Saccharomyces cerevisiae S288C: one gene and its partners. Changing the gene in region 3 together with the main gene of any one other region gives a genetic interaction. Each region holds a gene or a part of one and is shown on either strand. Other genes may lie near its edges.

What was found. A genetic interaction does not mean that the proteins touch.
Region 1: of EMG1 (region 3) and NOP6, a mutation in one rescues a mutant of the other (synthetic rescue), as found in Saccharomyces cerevisiae (one study listed by BioGRID).
Region 2: mutations in EMG1 (region 3) and RRP8 are lethal when combined (synthetic lethality), as found in Saccharomyces cerevisiae (2 studies listed by BioGRID, with this or other methods).

The regions. Positions count from the first base shown.
Region 1 is NC_001136.10:75,857-79,800, reverse strand, and holds NOP6 (Nop6p), read left to right. Parts: upstream 1-1,834; coding exon 1,835-2,512; downstream 2,513-3,944. Other genes in the region: YDL211C (uncharacterized protein), read left to right, coding at 1-507; SHR3 (Shr3p), read right to left, coding at 743-1,375; serine/threonine protein kinase PRR2, read left to right, coding at 3,256-3,944. UniProt on the Saccharomyces cerevisiae protein: Predicted to be involved in rRNA processing.
Region 2 is NC_001136.10:610,149-614,683, reverse strand, and holds RRP8 (25S rRNA (adenine645-N1)-methyltransferase), read right to left. Parts: upstream 2,612-4,535; coding exon 1,433-2,611; downstream 1-1,432. Other genes in the region: AFR1 (Afr1p), read left to right, coding at 1-396; TVP23 (Tvp23p), read left to right, coding at 680-1,279; STN1 (Stn1p), read right to left, coding at 2,759-4,243. UniProt on the Saccharomyces cerevisiae protein: S-adenosyl-L-methionine-dependent methyltransferase that specifically methylates the N(1) position of adenine 645 in 25S rRNA. Required both for ribosomal 40S and 60S subunits biogenesis. Required for efficient pre-rRNA cleavage at site A2.
Region 3 is NC_001144.5:521,044-525,722, reverse strand, and holds EMG1 (18S rRNA pseudouridine methyltransferase), read right to left. Parts: upstream 2,092-4,679; coding exon 1,333-2,091; downstream 1-1,332. Other genes in the region: SKG3 (Skg3p), read right to left, coding at 1-858; 60S ribosomal protein eL37 RPL37A, read right to left, coding at 2,435-2,694, 3,054-3,060; TOS4 (Tos4p), read left to right, coding at 3,711-4,679. UniProt on the Saccharomyces cerevisiae protein: S-adenosyl-L-methionine-dependent pseudouridine N(1)-methyltransferase that methylates pseudouridine at position 1189 (Psi1189) in 18S rRNA.

The DNA.
Region 1 (3,944 bases), on a different chromosome or scaffold from region 3:
GCACTAAACACTCAAGATACCTCAGATGCCAATAATAGAAGGACCGGAGTTATTGTCGGTTCTACGGTTGGAGTTGTCATTGGAGTTGTAATAGTAATTTTTATCGGATTCATAATTATTAGAAACAGACGAAACGTGAAAAATCACAGCAAAAAGGGCTTTAGCCATGATATTGGCAAGAGGGTAAGTTGTGATGAGGTAACAGAAACAGAAGCACCGTCAAATCCGTTCCTAAATGTCCTTAATTATAAAGTAACAACCAACGGCGAGGGCAAACGAGATTCCTTTGAAAATGGTAGAGATTTACACAGAGCTAGTTCCTCAGACGGTATATATATAGCACATCCTTATTATGGGATGGCGGATCACGAATCCGGGAGATTTTCATACGTATCGTCATACAATGAATCTGCGGAGTCATCCATTGAAGAAACAAGTTCCAGTGCGTCTACTATTACTCGGCCAAATATTCAGCAAACCAATAGCTTTTTGAGAGAAATTATTTAAAAATAGAAAAAAGTGGATTCCAAGATTTTCGTACTTCTAAACAAGGCTGGTACTTGTTGCTATTTCTTTGGAATTATTTGTAAATTTATGCACGAAGCAGATAGAGTTTTATTTATTCAACAGTATTTATATAATAAATATTGATCTTACTATACAACTAGATTCGTATAATCGTCTGTTTCGTCACAGACGGGAAAAGAGGGACAAAAAGAGAAAATGTTAAAAATATTATGGCCTATTTTTTGGCGTTCTTCCTCTTTTGAGCACCTTTAGATTTGTTATCATTCTTTTTCGCATTGTCAACTTTCTCAGTCTTTTTACCGGCATTGGCAGCTTCTCTTTCTTCTTGAGCATAAAACTCCTTTAATCTTTTTTGCAAATCCCAGTTACTGTACCACAAACCAATTTGTAGGATGATAACACCGGCAAACATAACTAATAAAATTATGTTGGAGGAAGCAATAACTGCCAAACCCTGATTTTCCGTAACTTCTCCCCAATTATGGCTCACAGAACAGTCGATACCTGTTTTCACATTAGTGAGAAACACACAGATAGCCAACACGTACAACCCCAATGAACAATACTCAAACATCTGCAGTTCAGGGTTTGGCTTGAAAACCTTAATTGTACCACCAACTAAGCCAATACCGGCAACAACGCACAAAGTAACAATCACCGGCAATGGAGTCTCATGTAAAATTTGGTAATGTCTCAGTGCCAAATCGAAATGCTCTTGAGTAGAGTTAGGATTAAATAAAAGATGATAATCGTATGGCATGTTACTGAAGAAAACACCCATTAGGAACGTTGTGGCCGATAAGATCATGGCCGTACCGATAGAACAGAAATCTGAATATGAGAACATCGTTAGAGTTTTATCGTATCACGGGATTTTATGCTCTGTAGTCCAATGAATTTACGGCTGTCTTCCAAAATACTTAAATCTGTCCTTTCATCAACTTTTTATATTTTTCAGAGTTTTTACACAACCCGAAAAAATTGTTATCGTGTATTAATTTTAGTACATTATAAAAAAAGATGGAGAGGGAAAGAGCCACCAATTACATTGGCGAAAGGTGATGGTGTAAAGTAACGGCAACCAAAAACAATTATGGATGGAAAACTTGGTATGAGAGTACTATTATTACGAACTCCACATTAACTCGATTCACCAAGTCCTTTCCCCATACGTTTACCCGGCATTCCTGAAAATTTTCTAAGATTTTTTTCTTCTTAATCGATGAGCTTAAAAGGTTTTCTGAGAAAATGAGAAAGTAATCTAATGTAGAGGACAGGATAGAGATTGAAGACGTCTACAGCTAAAATGGGGTCCGAGGAAGATAAAAAGTTGACCAAGAAGCAGCTCAAAGCTCAGCAGTTTAGAAAAAGTAAGGAGGAAAAAGATCAAGAGAAAGACGTAAAAAAAGAGCAAGCACCAGAAGGAAAAAGACCCAACAGTGCAGCCGGAAATGATGGTGAAGAACCCGTGAAGAAAAAAAGAAAAACACGTAGAGGCCGTGGTGGTAAGGGCAAAAATGGTAAAAAGGGCAACAGATTTATTGTCTTTGTCGGTAGCTTACCTAGAGACATCACTGCTGTTGAATTGCAAAACCATTTTAAAAATAGTTCACCCGACCAGATCCGCCTCAGAGCTGACAAAGGTATTGCATTTTTGGAATTCGATGCTGACAAAGATCGCACCGGCATTCAAAGACGTATGGACATTGCCTTATTACAACATGGGACCTTACTGAAAGAGAAGAAGATCAATGTCGAGCTAACTGTTGGCGGAGGTGGTAACAGTCAAGAGCGTCTAGAAAAATTGAAAAACAAAAACATCAAGTTGGATGAAGAACGTAAAGAGAGGTTGACAAAGATGATTAACGACGGCAACCAAAAGAAAATCGCCAAAACTACCGCCACTGCAGCTCAAACCTCTGGAACAGACAACAAGCCTGTTCCTGCAGGAATTCATCCTGATAGAGCCAAACTACTTAAATGAGTACAAATTTAATTTTATACGCCATGTATCTTAGACAAAAAGAAAATAAAGGGAAAAACATAAATAATCGTGCAGAATCATGCTACTGCCAAAAAAAGAAATGGCAAAGATGCCCAATACGTAAACTCTTCCGGAAGCAATAGCGCCGCATTATTACCGCTGCTCTATTTCACTTTATCATGAAAGACGAGACGGCTGGTACTTTTTTTTCCCCAAATCGGAGCTACTTTTCCGCACTTCAAGTCCGGTGGGAATTTTTACTACTACCCCTTAATCAATGCACTCCCCCCGCAATGACGTACAGGGGTAACATGTCTAACATTTAAGGTTACGGCTGTTAGCATATTGGGGGTTATTTGAATTATAGGAACGCCAAGAAAAAGGACAGAGGGTAAAAACATTCTCGGTGCTGCCGGATTGCTTATTAAGACGTATCCGTTAAACAATCTCCGCTTTTTTTTTTGTCTAACAGCCGGCTCTCTTTGGCTAGTCTCCATCCCTTCGTCACCTTCGGCTGTGGTCACACAATAAGGAAAGGTGCAAAAAAAAAAAATAAATACGAAAATCTGGAAATTGAATTCTTTTCATTAACATTCATTCACTCACTGAACTTATTGTCAATCGGAACATATTTCCTTGCCTTTATGAATTTTTGAAAAGAAAAAAGTTAATAGGAAAAACTAGATAGATTGCAAAAACGTTCACAATAGCGTACGTAATCCTTTTACTTATCATACGGAGTGATGTCGTTGTCTAGAATCCTGCGATATAATCAGAGAAATAACAAAACTACAGCTTCCTTGACTGCAGAACACGCCTATTCCGATAATTGGGCATATTCCGTCTCGTTAGGCGATCCCACTAGTGTTGGTGTGAATATGGCTGCTAAGACGGGTGAGGCGCTAAATAAATCATATGATTCCGTTTTTTCTTCTCTCCCTGTTGCAGATAGTGTACCTCGGACAGACTTTACTGCATCTTCCCGGGATGATGAAAACACGGACGTGCAAAAGCTGACCACTTCCTGGATGGAGAAAATTGACACGAAGATGCCCGAAAACATATCTAAAATCGACTCTAATATTATTTCCTCTCCCATGGTCAGTAAGGTTGAAGCAAGATTTATTGTTCCTAAAGGAAGATTGAGGAAAAATTCTACCGATTTTACGTCATCTTTCTCAAACTCGTTAAGTTTACCCAAAAGTTATGGCAAATTAATTTTCTTTACATCAAAGAAAAACAGCAGTAGTACCAAAAAAAATCTAGCGAATGATATCAGTGATAACAAGCATAACAACAATTCTTCTAATACTATCGGTCACAATATTCCAGTCACGACAGCCACGGCGACATGTGATGAGATTGCATGCACCTCCACAGAACATGAATATAATGTTTATGAGGAAGAGAGGATGTTCACTACTCGTGTATA
Region 2 (4,535 bases), on a different chromosome or scaffold from region 3:
CGACAGTCTCTGTCAGGTCCAATAAGCTTACCAATGCATGTTGGGAACGACATGGTAAATAGGTTGAGAAATGACTGGGAGTATATCAGATTCGAAGATAGAAGGAATTCGCTGCCAGATTCCTCATTTGATAAAGTCGAAACACCTCCAAAACCAATAAAAAAAGATGTCCGGTTTGCAAAAGAAGTATGTTTAGCAAGCACTTGGTCATCGAATGCATATGAGAGAGCTAATCCGGAATTCATTATGAATCGCCACAGATTGTTGTGGATGATGAAAGTACATCCAAGCATGAATAGTGCCATGAATGAGATCAAACTTGAACTTAACTCTTACAAAAAAAATGAGATGGTTGTCCATGAGAACAGCAAGTGCTTTACACATTATTTAATTTGAGTTATTAACGTAACATAATCCAGTTTATTTTTTGCAATAGAAGGCGTCATACATATTTATATATCAATGTATACATTCCATTCCAGTTACTTCTTTTGCATCTTGCTTCCTGTTTACCTTGACCTCGAACCTATTATTTGTCCGCAATGCGCCTTTGGGTGAAAAGGGATTTCGTTTCCATTTTAACTGTACATAATGTAAATGTAGAAAAGCGTGGTTCTTAAAGGATTTACGGTTCAATACGCTTTTATAAACCTGCTGGTGCTCTAATTACGAATGAAACATGGACCAGGCAAGAAATTTCTACAACACAATTTTAAAATCGTCGCACCCGTTGCTACTATCATTTCATCTGGCAGGTAAGGCAGTTCCCATTGTATTTTATATCATAGGATCAATGTTTTTGAATTTCACACCTCAATTCATCACTGTCGTTCTTTTACTTTCTTTTGACTTTTACTTAACAAAAAACATTACAGGTCGGAAACTGGTCCAATTACGCTGGTGGTATGATTCTACAGATGTGAACAAAGATTCTAATTTTACTTTCGAATCATATAAGCAATATGCGCCGGGCCCACCAATAAATGCCATCGATTCTAAGTTATTCTGGTGGTCGATGTATGTGACACCCGTAATCTGGGGTGTCTTCGCTGTGTTGTGTCTTTTAAGACTGAAAATATTCTACCTGATTTTGGTCATTGTTGCAATGTGTCTGACCGCCTGGAACACGTATGGATTTCGTTGTTGCGATAGATGGGAGCCCAATAGTGGACAATCTGACGGTCAAGATACTAATAATTGGTTCGCTCTTCCTTCTGTTCCGGGCTTTGAAAATCTTTCAAGGCTGGCTAATATCCAATCGTTTTTCCAGAGACAATAAAACCTTGTCCCTCATGTGAACATTGTGGAGTACTTCTTCTAGATGATTTTTACTTTACGCAATGTACTACAGGAAAAGAATACAATTATATGTATAAATATAGTATACAAAAGAAAAAACAATATTAAAATATGAAAATGACGGATGAAGTCGTTATCTTCTTTTATAAATACAGGGCTTCAAGAGCCATTTTCCTTCGGCAATTTTCCGTCTTTTCTTTTCTAATTCTTCCTTCTCAGTTTCAACTTCAATAAACTTTTGTCTTCTTTCCAATTTCTGCCTTCTCTCTTCAATAATCTCCGCAGGTGGCTTGAAAAATTCGAATCTTGTAAACATCTTATTCTCGTCGAAGGTCTTTTTGTGAAAAAATCCCATCAGCTTCAAAGCGTCTACAAATTCATTACCTTTGCCGTCACTAAACCTTGATTTAATTTCTGCGATCCATAATTCACCCCTTGGCGCTAAAATCCTATAAGCTTCTTTTATGAAATCGAGGAAATTTGTACCCATTAGAGCCAGGCAGAAGACCACTATAGTACAGGACTCATCTGGTAGCGGCACATTTCTAATATCTGCCACAGTTATTCTTTCGTTAGCTTTCTTCAAATCAAAACTGTGGACTTTATGGCGTCTTTTCAAATATTTCTTCGCTTTCTTATTGTAATTTTTGAAAAAATTGTTGATTTCTAATGCTAATTGAGCTTCACCACACCCCATATCAGCAATAACTATTTCTTTACTATCCTTAAGACCTGGTAACCCACCTGGAGCATTCACAGGTTTCATGCATCTATAACGAATTTGGTCAACAAAAACATCAACTGGATTTTCCGGCCATGCTTGCACTTGTGATCTAAAACCATCATGATATTCGTCAAATAATTGTGGTTGTTCTTTTATTAATTTCAAAGCTTCATCAGAGCTAATTGTATACAGTTGTTCATTGATCCATCTAAATCTAGAACCAGTCAGTTTAGCCATCATCTTTTGTTGTAAAGGGGTTAGTTGCTTCTTTGTAGGTTTTTCAATATTTTCTTTTACTTGCATCAGAGGGGCTTCTTCATCGTGCTTGCGTTTCTTGCTCGTTTCATTTTGATCACTTTTCTCTTGGTTTTTTTTTGGGATGTCTTTGGCTACTGATCCTTCGGAAGGAATGTCTTCCACTTGTTCCTTCAACTCAGCCTCTGTCTCTTCTTTCAACTTCTGTTCTCTTGTAAGTTTGCCATTTTTTCTATTATTTTTTTTTTTATCTTTTGAAGACTTATTAGTCTTGTTATCAAAAGCGACGGTTTTTGTCTTAATAGACCAACCTTCTACGTTAAATAAGGCCATATAAAATTTCGTTAACGTCCTTATTTGTTTGATATAATATATATACAATATATGCATAAAGTTATAGTATCTTATTTTGAGCTCATCGCAAAATTTTTCAGGCCTAGAGAGATGCGCCGTTATTGACGATGCGAGTTTTCTAACAAATTATGAATATGCTGCTGCGTATTCCAAATGTAATAATATTCCACTGTTTTGGTCCTCCATACCATTCTTCGGATCAAGATCAATCCACCAATTTTTTAGTACCTCAGGATACTGTTTCTTTGTCCTTTTAAGACATTCTTTGAAAACATCAACGATGCCGTTCGTTGTTATGTACGGCAAATGTAGCTTTTCCTGAACATGACTTAATTGCACAGTGCCTGTATAACATTGTAGCTTCATTAGAACTGATATACGTTTTTCAGCATATTCAAAAAGATTTTTTAGAGGAAGCAAATCAAATGTCTCACTTGTTTTATCTTTTAATCCGATCAAACCCTGGCTGACTAGACGATTAACCAGGTCTCGAAACGCTTCCTTTTCCAAAGAGTCAAAAGATTTCATGACGCCAACATTTTGTTGTTGAAACAAAAACGATGCTAAGCTAGTTACTACGCTGCGTACTTCCTTTAGTTTGTAAAGGTCAGAATTAGAAATCTCTTTCATTTGTAGTCCTAATAGGATCAACATCAAGTTTGACTTTGCTGATGTCCTATTGGGAATCATCACAGGTAGATTAGCGCTTTGATATTCTAGTTTTTTTAACTGTTCGTCATTGCCGTTGTCAATTTGATCACCTGAATTCAAAAAGTGAGTTTCAGGAAAATCCTTTAGCGACGATACAAACCGAAATGACAAGGAATGCACACTATTCGAAGTATCTGTGCTATTGTATGGACTAATAATTTCTAATTCATCCTTCAAGCGTTCTTCTTGCAGTTGCTCGATGAAAGTAGTTTCATTTCTTTTACTTTCTGGGGTTTTGTACCCTATACCTACAAAATCCGGGTTTACTACCTCAATCTGTGATGTCTCAGGTGTCCACTCTTGCTCTTGCGTGAACAATTCTCCAATTACAAAATCGCTTAAGGACCAAGGCGTGTCAAGTTGCTCACGCATGTTCATTGTGATTTTCCAATGATCTATTTCTTCCGTTAAACTGTAGCATAATCTTAAATATTCAACTTGAAGCTCTTGATAGTTCAAACTTGCTTGCCCGTAGACATGAAGAGTTAAGCCTATCAAATCGGTTATGTTCAACCCCCATGATAGGATGCTATCCTTCTTAACTTTACATGTTAAGAATCTCATGTCACTAGTATAACCCACCAATGAAGAGTCTGAAGTACAATCGTCCAACTGAAAAAAAATGTATTCTTGTTTCCCAATCCATTTGAACTGGAGTCCAATGATGCAGCCAATAAGGTGTATTTGCTGTAAAGGATGATTTTTCCAGAACAACATCGACAACCGCCTATCATAATACTTTTCGCAAATTTGCAAAGAAACTCTCATCCGGTACTTTAAATCTCCAACAAATATTCGAACGTCCTCTGTCCCACTATAATAACTGTTGTATTTGAACAGCCTTGGAATATAATAACAAACATCGCCTTCTTGATGAGCTATATGTCCGTACTTATCCATGGCTCCAACCCATTATTAAAAGCCAGCTTATTGCTCTTTTTTCGCACAGAAATGGAATATCAACAAGCAGGATTTCATATATTCCAATGCTTACTTCTTTTTCCATGCCTTTACATACTTCTTTTTGGTGTGATTCGTGGTTTTGTTGTTAGAATAGCTGCTGCATATTTCCGTTCTGAGTGACTTTGCCCATCGAAGTCAATTACTTGAAAGTAAGAAATTATCAAAACCAATAGCTGCTTAAAAATCAGTTGCAAGATTTGAATGAAATCAGCAAAGTTTGATCAATCGT
Region 3 (4,679 bases):
TTTCTTTTTTTTGCCAGACTGTGGAGAAATAACAGCATAACAACGTTTCCATGGCATACCTGTCCCGAATCTTACGCTAACCCAGTCCTCATAAGTGAATTTTGTATCTGCCATAACAACTTTGATATCACCAAGTTTAACACCTCTGCTTGACAAAAATGAGCCCGTGTAGGCCTCTTGCAACGCCGTAAACTCGAACAAACTAAGCCTAATTGCTGCGTTCCAAGTTTTGAATGATTTTGAATTTTTGAATTTTAAGAAATACCTGTTTTTTAAAGTTGTTGAAACAACAAGAACATTGTCTAGATCTTTCTTTGTCTTTTCGTTCTCTGATGCAATGATTACCTGATCATTAGCGTCCAAACTCCTCACAGAAGCATCTGTAAAATTGATAAAAGAAGGTCTCGATGCGGCTTTTTTCATGGTTGATGTGTTCTTATTATTCTTGGAATCTGATAATTCTTTTGCATCCCATAAAGCCAGCTGAGTTCCTAGCAACACACCATAGCATTCTTCCCACTGACGCGCGGCAGGTGTTCCGTCTGTCTTCAAATCATGTAATATCAAGAATATACCATAATGGTATCTCCTATGAGCCTGTGCAGAGAGTAAAGTAACGATTGGTACTAGTTCTGGTGAGATATCACCATTAATAGAGTGTTCTTGCGGAAGATCTAACGTAGGGCTCCCAGGAGTGGATATTGAGTTACTGAAGAGTCTTGAAGCTGATGCTGATAAACTTCGAAGCCCTTGGTCGAATTTGGGAGAGCTCGGAGTGGATGGGCTCTCATCATTTTTGAAAACTTTTGGGGGAGCAGATAACTTTGGGGACTTCACACCAGAGAAAATCCTTTTCATTTCTTACTGTAGCTTCTTGGTGTTCTTGCAGTTACTTGTTCTTTTATTGCCACGCTTTGGGACTTCAATTTTGGTTTTCTTTGATTTCCGTTTTACGAATATCGTTTAGTAAGAATAAACAGTGCCAAAAAGACCAAATCGGCAAGGCGCTAGGGAAATGATACTGGCAAGTTAATTAGCAATATTAAGTGCCGTTTGCAGTTGTAAAAAAACTTTTCCAACGAGCTCTTTATCCTTTGTCTTTGCCAAGAGTTCTTCCACGTTTTGTTTATATCATATTGAAATTTTGTTCACCGTTCAGGGTCCGAATTAGGTGAAATATTCAAAGACTGAGCCTCGTTCAGATGACTTCCGAACCATTATTTCGCGTGGGGGAAGGATAGAGGTGCAGTCGAATTAATCGCTAACTCGATTGTTTCTATATCGTATATTGACTGTTTATTATACAAAGAGGATGCCAAGTAGACTTAAACACTATAAAATATTCCAAGCATCTTCAGCGCCATGGCAAAATTTAGAACATGCAACTGAGGCAGACAATGGGTAATTGGACAAGCCGACTTTTTCGTCGACGTATTCATCCGCAAAGTTATCTTTACCTCTTGCCATGGCACCAACAAAGACACATATACTTTCATCATCGTCTAGTTTTTCGATGTAATCTTGAACGCGGATAACTGGTGCGTCAAAGGATAATGTCACCTTACGGCACTTAGTAGGTAGGTGATCGGTAATTGGGTTCTTAATGACTTTAAGTAACTTTTCTTCAGAATTTACCGATCTGATAGAAAGCTTATGTAGTAACTGAACCATTAAACCTGAAAATCTTTTGAAAGTTCTTGGTATACGAACAGTGGGGTTAACCTCGATCAGAATTCCTCGACTTGTTTGAATATAGACCTGCAGCTTTCCGGCTTTGTTGATTGGAGAATCTAGCAACGTCAAAAGACATTGGTGGGTAATATCAGGTCTTGCTTCACTAATGTCTCTACCCATTTTTTTTAATAAACCTTGATGGTCGTCACAGTTCAAAAGGACATATTTGTCACCACCAGGCCCGTTGGACGATATCTTGTGTGTCTCGAGGGATGCCATCGCTAATACCACAATCATCCGCTTAGTAATCTTATCCTTTGATGTCAAGACAGGAGGTGCTTGAGGAACCAAAGAGGCCGGTAATGCCTTCTGATCACCACCTTTGAGGGCGTCTCTAACTCTGGAATCTTCGACCATGACCTACGATTTTACGGGTTTTCTTCTTGGTGACTAGATATCTGGTAACTGGGTTGCACTAACTTTGCTCCCTATAACGAATGATGCTGGCAAAAACAGTTCAAGACATCTCTGTATATATTCATCGAACAATAATTTTTCACTTTTTCCGGTCATGAATTACGAAACTATCAATTCTACTTTTCCCGTAAGCACTCAAAGGCGTTACATATGAATAAAGATATATTAAAAAAAGGCTGGAGATTTGTTAACTAATTGTTTAGAAGTTTTTTTGCAGTTGGTTATTATATAAGGTCTCTAATTATTGAGTTTTCATTTAAAGAAATAGATCTTAGTATAAAAATTAAGCAGAAGCCTTAGAAGCAGAGCCGGTTTGGAAACCGTTCTTGAATCTTCTTGAAACGTGTTTCAAGTATCTCATTCTACCAGTACCAGTAGTGTGTCTTCTCTTAGCCTTGGCACCCCAGTTGTAAGATCTGGTCTTAGCAGCTGGATAACCACAGGAGGAACAGGTCTTCTTTTGAACATGGAAAGAACGACGACCACATCTGTTACACAAAGTGTGGGACTTGTTGTGACGTTTACCGAATGAAGGAGTACCCTCTATTTAAAAAGAAAATCAAATTGTTGTGCAATTTGGTTAAGTTTGTTAGTACAATTTGCTTTATCTTATAGTTACACTTTTTTCGTGACTGTTACAACGCCATTGAAATTGATCCTTTCGAGTTCCCTCAGGCATACAAGCAGAATATTTCTTCTATACGGTAAATTTGTTGTCATGCGCATGTCTTTCGTTCACTATTCTGTCTTCATACAAGTATACCAGTCTCGTATCGTCCAGTCTTGCTAAGTATAAATTTGGTGTGCATGCGTTCCGATATTTCTCTTCAGATAATCATAACATTTCTCCACGGTCGTCAATAACAGGTTCACAGTTTTATTCTCAATGTCCTACTACATACTACCCATTTTTGTCTATATTATTTGTATGAGGCTTTAGCAAATACCTCTTAAAAGTAAACATTTTTGAAATTTAATAGTACCCTCATATAGAGCATTTCTCATTCTTACACTTGTAATATTGACGGTGATGAGAAAGCTACCAGGAGAACATCAACGTTTGGAGGAGACAGACCGACGGACCACACTTCACCAGTATGGCATCGCCCTGCCTACCATCAGCCTAGAGAACGGGCAGACGGATTGACTTCCCTTTCCCCAAGGGGCCGCCTTCTTGTTGCCGGCCTGCCGAAGTGTGTTTTAGAATTTCTTCGAAAGAGAATAGTCTCGACAACGTTTTGTCTTGGAAAACCTTTTGTGTACGGATGTTTAGTTAATAATAATGTACAGATGTTAATATGGTTTTTTTTTTTTGATATGAAAACGCCAAAACGCGAAAAAAAAATCCCGTGGCCCTTTTTTCTTAAGTTCATCTCTATGGTTTGCTTTCGTGTTTTGATGAGAATGAACAGCGGCAGTCGACGTAAACTAAAATTCATCAATGGAAACTCTTTCTCTACTTTCATTCATTTAGAATTGAATTATAGCAATCTACTTTACGTACAAAAGTCCATATACATCTGCCACGACACATCAAAGATTAATAATCACAAGAAGGCATGAGCTCGCAATTTCCTTCGTCCCCCTACAGGACAGTGGATCCGTACTCTCCACCAAATTACAAACAGCAGCCTAATTGTCCCTCATCCAATTATGAGAAAGCTGGTAAAACTGCGTCAGAATCAATTGGAAATTTCGGGAAAGGAGATTATCCAACTCCATTTCCTTCTTCCAGTATAGGAAGGGTTTCGTCTCCCGTTAGGTCGAATAAGGTTGACGCCATCCCTTCCTCTCCAGCTTTTCCTGGCCAGTTGGCAGAAACGTCACCCAAGTTTTCTTCCAAACTTTCTTCTCCTTCAAGGCATACTAGAGTCATCAATGCTGAACTAGATCCTAGCAAGATCAGCACCATTACTGTAGGGCGCAATAGTTCGCAATGTGATGTTGCGCTCTGTAAGAATAAGTTCATATCCAGAGTACACGCTAGTATAACTTATTTACCACAAACAAATGAAGTGAAGATTCACTGCTTCAGTATGAACGGATTAATCGTTACCTATCGTAAGCAATTTGATTGTTATCAATTAAAGGATACCATGAATAACAATAATAGGGCATATAGGCTTGTTCCCAGATTCTCTAACGAAAAATGTGTTAAAGAAATTCAAGACGAGGGAGGATTCATTAATTTCACTCTGGAAGAGGGAGACACCGTTTATATGACATATTACAAGGGTATCATGTTGGATTTTAGGCAGGTTTTACTTCGCATTTCGTTAAAAGAAAAAAACTCTTCTTCAGAGCCGTTAAGATTCGAGAAGAAAGCTGAATTTGAAAGTGAAAGTGAAACGAAACATATGGGTAGTATAAGGAAGCATCCATTGATTTTTACTGACACTTCGATGGACAGACCCAAAAAAATACTTAAGGATAGCAACAAAATCTCAATTGGTAGTGATTCTGGCGTTGCAGAAAGGATGCTAAACCACTTCCTAAATTCTAAATCGTCCCCACTTTCATCCGTCTCC